Arabidopsis thaliana: one gene and its partner. The protein of the gene in region 2 interacts with the protein of the main gene of each other region in a pairwise test. Each region holds a gene or a part of one and is shown on either strand. Other genes may lie near its edges.

Region 1 (5,672 bases), on a different chromosome or scaffold from region 2:
TGTTGAGTACATTTGTTGGTAGACCTAGACGTAGGTCCACGAAATTATACTCTTGCATTATACACCTCAAAACTTAGATATTTACATAATTACATTTTATCGTTTAGTATAGTGCTTAAGTTCCGTCACATGCAATCAAAGTAAAGTCTTCTTGATTTCGTCATCAAGATATTGACTTTTCCTAAATGGATCCGAGATCTTGTTAACGACAACCAAAACACGTTAAATTTGTTATTGTTTTTCGTTAAACTGCAAAGTTATGAATTTTAAATGTATAAAATCCTGGACCATTAGCAAACACAGTTCACTATACCATTTCATTGGATAAATAATCTCTTAAGATGCGTAACTTCGATCTAAAATCTTCGCACACTACCACTTAACAAGTTGTAAAAAAAAATATGAGACTGAAAAATACATGAGAAAAGGATATTATTGGTGATTAAGTTTGATGTGGCTCCATGTGTCTAATTTCTGATTTGCGCTGAGGTTCTCTTTAAGAAAAGAAACTACTGGCTGAGAGACATCAGATTAATCAGACTGTATTAGCTGATTAAAAGTTAAGCGCAACAAAGTATAAGCATAATTAAAATTGGTCTGCTCTCATTATTCTTTTTGCATTTCCACTAGCAGCGGAATAATCAAATACTCCACCCCCACTTACATGTAAATTATAAATTATGAATGCGATGTAGCATCATAACGATTGACCAATTAAAAGGTCTGACGTGATGAGTGATGACTATGCCAATTTATCAAAATATGGACAGACATAAAACTTTTTTATCAAGATCGTGCGTCTGACATTAGACCCCAATAAAATTCCAACTATAAGCTCACGTCATAGATGCAGAAGATTAAAATACAAATAAAAATCCATTTTTAAAGTAGAACCAAATGGATGATAGTGATACTTGTTTACTAAGCTATATTAGTCATAGCTTTTTATTTATTTGCCTTAGAAAATAATCGTTAATATTTTGAAAAGAAGATTACAAACAGGAACTAGTACCCTTCTTTAAGCGTTTCATTGTCAATAAACGAGATTACTTAGAAACCAAACCGTAAGAGGAGCATATTGAGTTTATAGGATTTCACTTAGTCTTTAGAGATGATATCATTCAGAAGTTTGGCCTCACGTTAAGACGAGTTGCTAGTTTCTGTCCCAGAGATTTGTCTGCCTGAGACCAGTAAGAGATCCAAATGCTGCGGATTTCGTGCGTGACACGAGGCTCCGAAAGCGCTTCAACAAAACGCTTCACGAATCGTTCTTGCCTATTGGTACAAAACAAAAGACCATTAGAATGAATTATGACATTTGTGGTTCATGTGTAATTGTTGATTTTGCAATGTGGTTTTTGAGTTTTTAGTGTTTACCTGTCTGAATCCCAGGACCGGTATCTCTCCCCTGGTTGCTTGAAGTTGTTCTCCTTCCCGATGAAGCACTGTGATATAAAGATGACATTTGAGTTTTAACTATGACTTATGAGGATAAAACTTGTGATCAAAAATTAATGTATGTAGAGGACTCTGACCTTCTCACGATTTCCAGAGCAGACAATAGGAGTTGTAGGGTATTTTTCGGCATGGCGAACTGGATCCAACCTTGAAGGGAAGTAATTGACCTGGAATTGGAAAGCAACAAATTCACTTCATATAAATGTGATTGCGAATTTAAGTATCTGGGAGTTTCTAGAGCCGAGAGATAAGATTACCTCCTCATCCCTGTGCATGAAGTTCATAAAACCATCATGGTGATTGTTGTGGTGAGCACATTTAGGGGCATTAACAGGTAGTTGCAGATAGTTTGGTCCAAGACGGTGTCTCTGACTATCAGCGTAGGAGAAGATCCGGGTCTGGAGTAGCTTATCATCTGAATAGTGGATGCCTGGAACCACAAGAGCAGGACAGAATGCAATCTGTTCGTTCTCATTAAAGAAGTTGTCGATGTTTTTGTTCAAGACCAAGCGACCAACAGGTTGTAAAGGCAAGATATCTTCAGGCCAGATCTTTGTGACATCAAGCGGATCGAAGTCAAATTTGTCTTCATGGGCAGGATCCATCACCTGAACGAAGAGATTCCACTGCGGATAGTTCCCGGCTGCGATCGAGTCATAGAGATCTTTGGTGGCATGGCTGTGATTGGCTCCTCCAACTCTGATAGCTTCCTCATCCGACAGGCATTTGATCCCACAAGTCGGCTTCCAGTGGAATTTCACATAGTGAGCTTTTCCAGCTTTGTTGATTAGCATGTAAGTGTTGACCCCAGCGCCTTCCATGTGCCTGTAGTCCTGTGGGATACCGAGATCATCAAAGAGAAATGAAAACATGTGCAAACTCTCTGGGTGGTGGGAGAAGAAGTCCAGTATCCTCCAGTTCTCCTGAATGTGAGACTTGGGATTCGGTTTCAATGCATGGACCATGTCAGGGAATTTCATTCCATCACGGACGAAGAATACAGGGAAGTTGTTCCCAACAAGATCAAAGTTCCCCTGAGTTTGCAAACAGAGGGTAAGAGGAATCATCAGTATAGTATGATATGATTTGCAAGTAATCATATAGGTGGTGAAACGAAATAGATAAGCAAATAAACGTTTGAATATCAGCAAACACATCGATATCGGTTATAGAAAATAGAGAGACAATGGAAGGATAAGACAAAAAGCTAACCTCTCTGGTGTAAAACTTAACAGCAAAACCACGGGGATCTCTGAGAGTCTCGGGACTGCCACGCTCATGGATGACAGTTGAGAAACGAACGATAACAGGAGTCTGAACACCAGGTCCTCGAAGAAAATCAGCAGAAGTAAGTTGGGTAATGTCATGAGTGACTTCAAAGAAACCCTTAGCACTGGCTCCCCTGGCATGAACAACCCTCTCAGGAATCCGCTCCCTGTCAAAGTTAGCGAGTTTCTCAAGCAGATGATAGTCCTCCAGAAGGATTGGACCTGACAATATATAAAACCATCGCTTAACATATCTAAAAATCCAAGCAACTGAGACAGAATCAACATTGAGGAATTATATCAGATTTGGCATAAAACTGAAGGAAGAAATGTGATTTACGCAAGTCCACAACAAAAACACTAATGACATTATTATCCAAACGTTTATAAAATTATTTGGCTTCCACTACTCTAGCTTTAAGGGCATTTCTAACAACCACTGGTTCAACATATTTGTTATAATTTGTATTCAAGAGATAAGAAAGAGAAACGGACCTCGAGTTCCGACAGTCAAAGAAGAGTTGTTGTTCCAGACAGGAGCACCCGAGTTTGTAGTGAAGAAAGGGGAATCATGAGCGCTTGAAGGACGAACCTGCACACCAACAAATAAATTCAGAAGAACTGGATCACAAAAAAATTAACCAAATTTCCATAGATTGGAGAAACGTCTATGACAAATAATGATACATTGATACTTGATACATAACAATTCCACATAAGTATATATGATCAATTAAAAAAATACGATACAAGCAACAATGATATTCACAATTGAACACAGTGATTAAAATAACTTTAAAAAAATCGTAAAGAAACCTTAAAACATGTACAACGATATTGACAGATCACGTCAGCCTTAAGACTTGTGTATTAGAACATGAGCATGAGCATGAGCATGTTGACAAATAAACAATCAATAGACGGAAAAACATGTTGAATTTTCCAGTGGAATCTTCAACGCATGCAAATCGAAACCCAATCTCCACTATATAATAAAGAAATCGATTCACACAAAAAAACCTCAACAAGTCGAACAATCACCCCAATTTTGCATCATTTTAACCGAGAGAGAGAGATCATTCATACACTTTGGATTCAACACGAAATCACACCAAATCGATACGAAATCAAGTAAGGTAAAATCACAGATTACAAAAAAAGAGAATCAATCGATGTACCCTGTATGGATCCATGATGCTTGAAGACAATTTTGATCCGAATTTTTCTTCTTTTGCGATTTTTAGGTGAGACTGTGTGTATCTCGCAAATCGGCGTGTGTCTGCACTGTTGTCGATTTTTTTTTTATAGCGAGAGCCAAAATATCTTATTTTAGCTCAACACCAAAACACGTATGTGTTTTGTCTTTGTTAATCCTTATCCAAATGATAATCCTCGTATTAATAGTCAAACTAATTACGTGTGGATGATATCGTCTTTGATTTCGCCAGATACTATACCATAATTAGACAATTGTTGATCCATTTCAGGATTCTCCTTAAAATAATACATGTTCAATTACGGTATCTTCTCTTTTTTTTCCTGAATTAATAATATGTATAACGACCACCATAAATCTTAGAAATTGTTTACTGCTTCAAGAAACATTGATTTATTGTAAAAAGAGATTACAAAGACAGTGAGAGTAGAAAGGAAGGAAACATGAGTTTTTGGGATTACAAGCATTATTATTATATAGACAAGAAACAACAACACATGTGATTATCTTTTTGACGGATTTAACGACCAAGCGATGATAGATCGATGAGATTGATTGTACCTCACATAGACTGAGCTTATATGGAGATTGGCCTCTAGATGCTTGGCCTCACGTTCAGACGGCTTGCAAGTTTCTGTCCCAAGGATCGATCAGCCTGAGAGATACAGAGAGATAAATAATGTTTTAGTTTGCTGAAACTTGGTAAAAAGGACGTAGAAATTTGACCGAGTGTTTTTTTGTTCTGACCTGAGACCAGTAAGAGATCCAGATGCCGCGGATCTCGTGGGTGAGACGTGGCTCCGATAGAATCTCCACCCATCTCTTAACAAACCTGTCTTGCCTGTCTGGTGCCCATGATCTGTACCTGTCTCCAGCCTGTTTGAAGTTGTTCTCTTTCTTGATGACGCACTGCAACATTAGCAATTAAAAGGTTTTCTTAGCACCAATATTCTAATAAACTTGAGTTTAGGATTTGAAGATTTAGAGAAGGCATGGCAGGAATCGGACCTTTGTTCGAATTCCAGTGTAGGAGTTTGTAGGGGTGGGAACTTTCTCAGCGCAGCGGACAGGATCAAACTTTGAGGGGTAGTAATTGATCTGTAAAAAGTACAAACCAAATGAGAATTTTGATTCCAAGTAAAAAGACTAACAATGGTAGCTCAAGTGGTGTACTAAGACGTACCTCCTCATCTCTGTGCATGAAGTTCATAAAACCTTCATGGTGATTGTTGTGGTGAGCACATTTGGGAGCATTGACTGGAAGCTGCAAATAATTCGGTCCAAGGCGATGTCTCTGAGTGTCACCATAAGCAAAGATCCTACACTGGAGCAGCTTGTCGTCTGAGTAGTAGATTCCAGGAACCACAAGACCCGGGTTGAACGCAAGCTGCTCAGTTTCATTGAAGAAATTGTCAATGGTCCTGTTCAGAACCAAGCGACCAACCGGTTGCAGAGGCAAAATATCCTCAGGCCAGATCTTGGTCACATCAAGTGGGTCAAAGTCAAACTTATCCTCATCTGCAGGATCCATGGTCTGGATGAAAAGTTTCCACTCGGGGTAGTTGCCAGATGCAATGGCATCGTGGAGATCCTTAGTGGCGTGGCTGTGATTGGCTCCTCCAACAACCTTGGCCTCTTCATCAGTCAGATTCTTGATCCCACAAGTTGGTTTCCAGTGGAACTTCACAAAGAGAACTTTTCCAGATTTGGCAATAAGAGTGTAGGTGTGG
Region 2 (5,317 bases):
GATTACCTCGATGTGACACCGGTTATGAAGAGAGTAATGGTGGGACAACACAGGGAAGCTCCAGCTATCTTCAAGCATCAGAATATTTATTACATGGTCACTTCCTGGTGCACTGGTTGGGCACCAAATGAAGCCTTGGCTCATGCGGCTGAATCTATAATGGGTCCATGGGAGAAATTGGGGAACCCGTGTATCGGTGGTAACAAAGTTTTCCGGTTAACAACATTCTTTGCGCAGAGCACTTATGTGATTCCTTTACCTGGTGTTCCCGGTGCGTTTATATTCATGGCAGATAGGTGGAACCCGGCTGATTTGCGGGATTCCAGATACGTGTGGTTACCGTTAGTTATAGGTGGACCTGCTGACCAGCCTTTGGAGTTCAACTTCGGGTTCCCATCGTGGTCCAGAGTGTCCATCTACTGGCACAGTAAATGGCGGCTGCCTTAAAGACATACAAATAACCAAATATGTTCTTACCGATCCGTCAGTGCTGATCATTGTTGTTGTCTTGTTGATTTGTTTTGTAGATTAGGCATTCATACACACCACTGTAAGGATTATACTTAATAAATCTTTTTACTGAAGATACAGCCTCAGCTCTTGGACATCAAAGGTTCAATGTTATACAAATGCGTTTGTGACTTGGGCTGTTATACAAATGCTTTTGTGACTTTTGGGCTCCATCAAAACTAGTCAACTTTATTACACAGCTCCAGATTTTGGACATCAAAGGCTCAGTGTTGTCATACAAATGCTTTTGTGACTTGGTCTCTATCAAAACTAGTCAACGGTTTTACAAAGTAGGTAGAGAATGTTTTCAATTACCAGCTAGAGAAATCTTTAAACCCTGTGGAGGCTGACGCAGTAGTTTTTCTTTTCTTAGACACTCCAATGGTTGAAATATCTGAGTCTAGGGAACCTTTAGTGTCTTTAGTGGCTGTACTACTCATAGCTTTCAAGTATTTTCCGACACCACCGCCACCCGCTCCAGCTTCTGTTGTTCCTGATCCCGGGTTGCTGTACCACGACCCGATCTTCTCCTGATACATTACATAGTTCATATATAATCTTATCAGACCAATCCAAAGTAAGAGAGCAAAGAGAGATCATATTTGGTGGAAGGGATGATACTAACAATGTCTTTGTCTTCATTCTTCTCTTTCTCAGCTTTCTCTTTCTCTTCCTCTTCATCAAGCTCCGTGTATGGATTCACAAACACACTTGCCTCGATTATCTTAATCTCTTCCTGCAGAAATTACAAAATACTCTCAGGAGACAGAAACTACTAAAGAACACAGTGAGTTGAGTTTTTGGAACTTACAAGAGGACGGTCGCTTTCATCTACAGGTACATTCTCCATTGCTGCTAGTGTTGCCAAACCACCAACAACTCCACCAAACACTGTGTGCTTGTAGTTTAAATGGGTCGCTGATTTGTATAAGACGAAAAACTGAGAACCATTTGTGTGAGGTCCACTATTAGCCATACTAACTACGCCTCTTCCTGAGTGAAGCAGCTTCGAGTTTGGCTCGTCTTTGAATGGCTTCCCCCAAATGGATTCACCTCCTTTTCCTGTGCCAGTTGGATCGCCCCCTTGAATCATGAAGTTCCTTTGTAGAAGAAAGGTCAAAAGATCATGTTTAATTGCCCCATAAAAACTCTTAAAACAAAACAGATTTCCAAGACATATATGTATGCATACCTGATACTTCTGTGAAAGGCCACTCCATTGTAGTAACCACGTTCACAGAGAGTGATGAAATTCTCACATGCTCTAGGAGCTATATCGCAATGGAGCTCAATGTTCAAATCGCCATGTGTTGTCTGAAACTGAACATACCCTTTCTTTTTCGGGTTTTTCTCGACTTTAATTAGTTCAAAATCGTTTTTGGTTACAGGAGTAAAGGCAGAGGAAGTGAAAGAACGAGAAGCAGCACCCGACGAATAACGGCTCTTCACCTGCAACAAAACACCAAACGCTTTAACAACAATACACAAACCTTTTAACCGAGTTTATTCCGAAGAAGAAGCTAACCATTTTAGAATTAACAGGTGTTCTATCTCCAGCCATATGCATAGCTATTCTTGCAGCTGTTTTATCACTAGAACCAGCTTTAGCTGCATCAGCACTTCTTCCAAAAACCGAAGCAGATGCAGCATCAACAACACTGTAGGTCTGTTTCGGTTGTTCTGCTTTAGAAACCTCTTTGATTTTCGATCTTGACTCCAGAATCGCAGCAATAGCAGCGGCTCTTTCATTACGTGCCTTGTTTCCACCTCCACCATGTAAAGCAATCTCTTTAGCTTTATCAGTTCCAAGATCTGCAAGCATGTGCTTGATATCTCCAGACACGTTTATATTATAAGCAGGGTCTGAGTTCATCTTTTTCAACTCTGCAAGAAAACACAAGATATTGGAGTCGTAACCAACCTAAACAAAACACGTATTATGATAAATTGCTTGGTCGAATATAAAACTGAAATCAAACCTTCATCATCGATCTTAAGACCGTTTTTAACATGATCAAACTCCACCGTCACTTTACCATCAACTGCATTAGGATTCTGCAAAACGTTACCAAAAAATGCTTTAAGACACTAACCCATTGCAAAAAAAGCTTCAAGCAGAGAGAAAGAGGTTAGTTACCTGAATTGTTATAAGGTCGGCTCTTGTAAATGGTTCTTCAGTTAAAAGCTCCTTCCAATTCTTGGTTTTGATATTCAACTCTTTGATTGCCTAAATTTACACAGCAACAATAAGAATCATCGAAACCAAAAATAAGCAAAGCAAAAAAAAAAAAAAACAAACCTCGTAGCAGAATACATTTCCAGTAGTCTTGACAGCAACAATATGTGTAAATTCAGTGAAGACTTTGTTTAGAACAGGACAATGATACTCTCCTACAATGGTAGCCACATATCAAAGATGAGAGAAATCACAAGGCATCAGATAACATAGGTAAAGAGAGAAGAAAGAAGAGAACCTTCAGAGTTCTTGTGAAAGATGAGAGGAATTAGATCTTCTCCTTTCAATGGAGCTCCAGTAACAGGATGTTTTCCAAATTTCCTAATGTAAGGCACTATTGTTCTGCAAATTCCCAAAAGTCAATAATTAAGCTCCCTTAATGCCTTAAGTAAAAGCTTAAATCACTATGAAACAAACTACTCACGTTATCTCGAAAACACTCCCGTCGATTGTACACACAGGATCTTCGAATGGCAAAAACGTAAGCCTGAATCAGAACAAACAGATTGAAATTAGGAGAGATTGAAACCCAATTTGAAAGTAGTGGAATCGTGGAAGAAACATACGCGCAGCAATAGTAAGGAAGACTCTTGAAAGGAGTTCGATTCTCTTTGGATTTAGCGCCTCCCCATTCTGTTGCCCACTCCGTCTTCGTTATGAACATCCGATCTTTGCTGTGTTGTTTCTTCCCCATCGTTCACTTCTTCGACGTTGATAGATTTCAGTAGCTGGAATCTTAACCGTTGCGATTTTCGATCTGTCTGATACTACCGCCCTCCCCACCGCGTTTTGTTTTTGTTATAGTCAGGAGGAGGAGTCGCCGCCGTAGAACCAGATCCGGCCTTAATAGAGTCCGACCCGGATATTAAAAAGGCCTGTTTTGTTAACACTGGGCCGTATATTTTTAGGCCCAAATGCTCGATTACTTAAAAAGCCGGAGAGTTGGCGCCAACTTGGCGGCCATATAATAATCTCATTCTCTCAATCAATCAAACAAGTTTTTCTTACCAACTCTTTGCAGATTGTGAATTACATTTATGTTTTCACAATTTAATCGTCCATAGGTAAAATAGGTTTAAGAAACGTTACAACAATGATATTAATATTACATTTACATACAATTACGTGATTTTGTGGAGTGTTTCTTCAGGTATCCATTTTGGTCCAAGTACGACACAACAATATCTGCCATTTCACACAGAGAAGAAGACGAAGATGAAGGTGAAGATGAAGATGAAGATGAAGAAGAAAGCCCCTTGTCTCTACTGTTTTGTATTACAATCTGCAAAGAGTAGTCGGAAACACAACATTAGATTCAAGTTCGGAGATGAGCTAGATTCCAACTTATATAACAAAAATTGGATATTATATGAACCTCGCAATCCAAAGGCGCTTCATATGGATCATCTACTCCTGTAAAACCTGGAGAAGAAATGTTTTGGGGAACAATATATTTACATATAATCAAATGGATAGATCAAGAAGGTTATATAATTAATGAAAATCAGTAGAACATGGGTTAAGTTGAAAACAGATGCAGAGAAAAAGCAAAGTTACCTTTGATTTTACCAGCGCGTGCACGTTTGTATAAGCCCTTTGGATCTCTAGCTTCACAAACATGGAGTGGCACATCCATAAATACCTATCAAGAGAACCAAGAGAAAGTCAGATTGATGTTGAGACTGGGATTCAAATTCATGAACTTGGAGAAACCTCAATGAAATCTCCTTGTGGTAATAATGCACGGCAGGCAGCTCGTTCTATCCGGTAAGGAGATATTAAACTTGCAATACAGATAATACCAGAATCTGCAAACAGTTTAGCCACTTCACCAACTCTTCGAATGTTTTCAGCTCGATCATCTGCTTCGAAACTAAGATCGCTGTTTAAACCATGTCGAACATTGTCACCATCAAGTATATACGAAAGCTTTCCACGATTGTGCAAAGCTCGACTAAGAGCACATGCCAGACTACTTTTACCTGAAAAAATACGAGAATATTTGAAAGAATCCAGTAGAAACATAACAAGATGTAGTTAGAGATCAATTCAGAAACAAAGGACCAAACCTGAACCACTTAAGCCAGTAATCCAAATCACACATCCCTTTTGCTTAATTAATTCTTGCCTGTCGGATTTAGTAACGGGACAATCATGCCAGACAATGTTCTTTTGCTTTCCATTGATTTGCTTCGTTTCACCTGGTTAGATTATCTGAGATTAGATCTATTCAGATATACATCATTGATCTGTCTACTAAGGTCCAAACTTTATGCTAAAACTATGGAAATTTCTGGTCTCAGGAACCCAAATGTTAAAAACGAATCATAGGAACCCAAACTAGGATTAGAGATGAACCAGAACGGAATTACGTGATTATTACCGGACCGCGATGAAATGGATTCATCTTTTGCCATGATCGGACGGAAGTAGCTCATTCTCCGATGAATTTTCCCGCGAAGCTTCAAACTTTTACTACCGGCGGGATCCGAATTCGTGGAGCTAGACAATTTCAGAAACCGCCGCTCCGATAACCGGTGCGATTCAGACTCACCGAACGCCGGCGAAACG

The links. Proteins that work in one complex are often made in the same cells at the same time.
Region 1: the proteins of PUB49 (region 2) and CAT1 interact in a two-hybrid assay, tested with the Arabidopsis thaliana proteins (one large-scale study listed by BioGRID).

What each region holds. Positions count from the first base shown.
Region 1 is NC_003070.9:7,145,059-7,150,730, reverse strand, and holds CAT1 (catalase 1), read right to left. Parts: upstream 4,096-5,672; 5' UTR 3,920-4,095; coding exon 3,905-3,919; intron 3,319-3,904; coding exon 3,222-3,318; intron 2,949-3,221; coding exon 2,671-2,948; intron 2,493-2,670; coding exon 1,716-2,492; intron 1,626-1,715; coding exon 1,536-1,625; intron 1,446-1,535; coding exon 1,378-1,445; intron 1,276-1,377; coding exon 1,122-1,275; 3' UTR 551-1,121; downstream 1-550. Other genes in the region: CAT3 (catalase 3), read right to left, coding at 4,538-4,597, 4,690-4,851, 4,951-5,040, 5,126-5,672. UniProt on the Arabidopsis thaliana protein: Occurs in almost all aerobically respiring organisms and serves to protect cells from the toxic effects of hydrogen peroxide.
Region 2 is NC_003076.8:26,939,383-26,944,699, reverse strand, and holds PUB49 (plant U-box 49), read right to left. Parts: upstream 3,627-5,317; 5' UTR 3,441-3,626; coding exon 3,313-3,440; intron 3,234-3,312; coding exon 3,171-3,233; intron 3,089-3,170; coding exon 2,985-3,088; intron 2,902-2,984; coding exon 2,810-2,901; intron 2,738-2,809; coding exon 2,648-2,737; intron 2,566-2,647; coding exon 2,490-2,565; intron 2,395-2,489; coding exon 2,036-2,394; intron 1,960-2,035; coding exon 1,703-1,959; intron 1,611-1,702; coding exon 1,322-1,610; intron 1,247-1,321; coding exon 1,136-1,246; intron 1,041-1,135; coding exon 822-1,040; 3' UTR 554-821; downstream 1-553. Other genes in the region: AT5G67540 (Arabinanase/levansucrase/invertase), read left to right, coding at 1-447; APK4 (adenosine-5'-phosphosulfate (APS) kinase 4), read right to left, coding at 3,858-4,028, 4,122-4,168, 4,304-4,388, 4,460-4,728, 4,816-4,947, 5,130-5,317. UniProt on the Arabidopsis thaliana protein: May catalyze the cis-trans isomerization of proline imidic peptide bonds in oligopeptides thereby assisting the folding of proteins. May also function as a chaperone, playing a role in intracellular transport of proteins.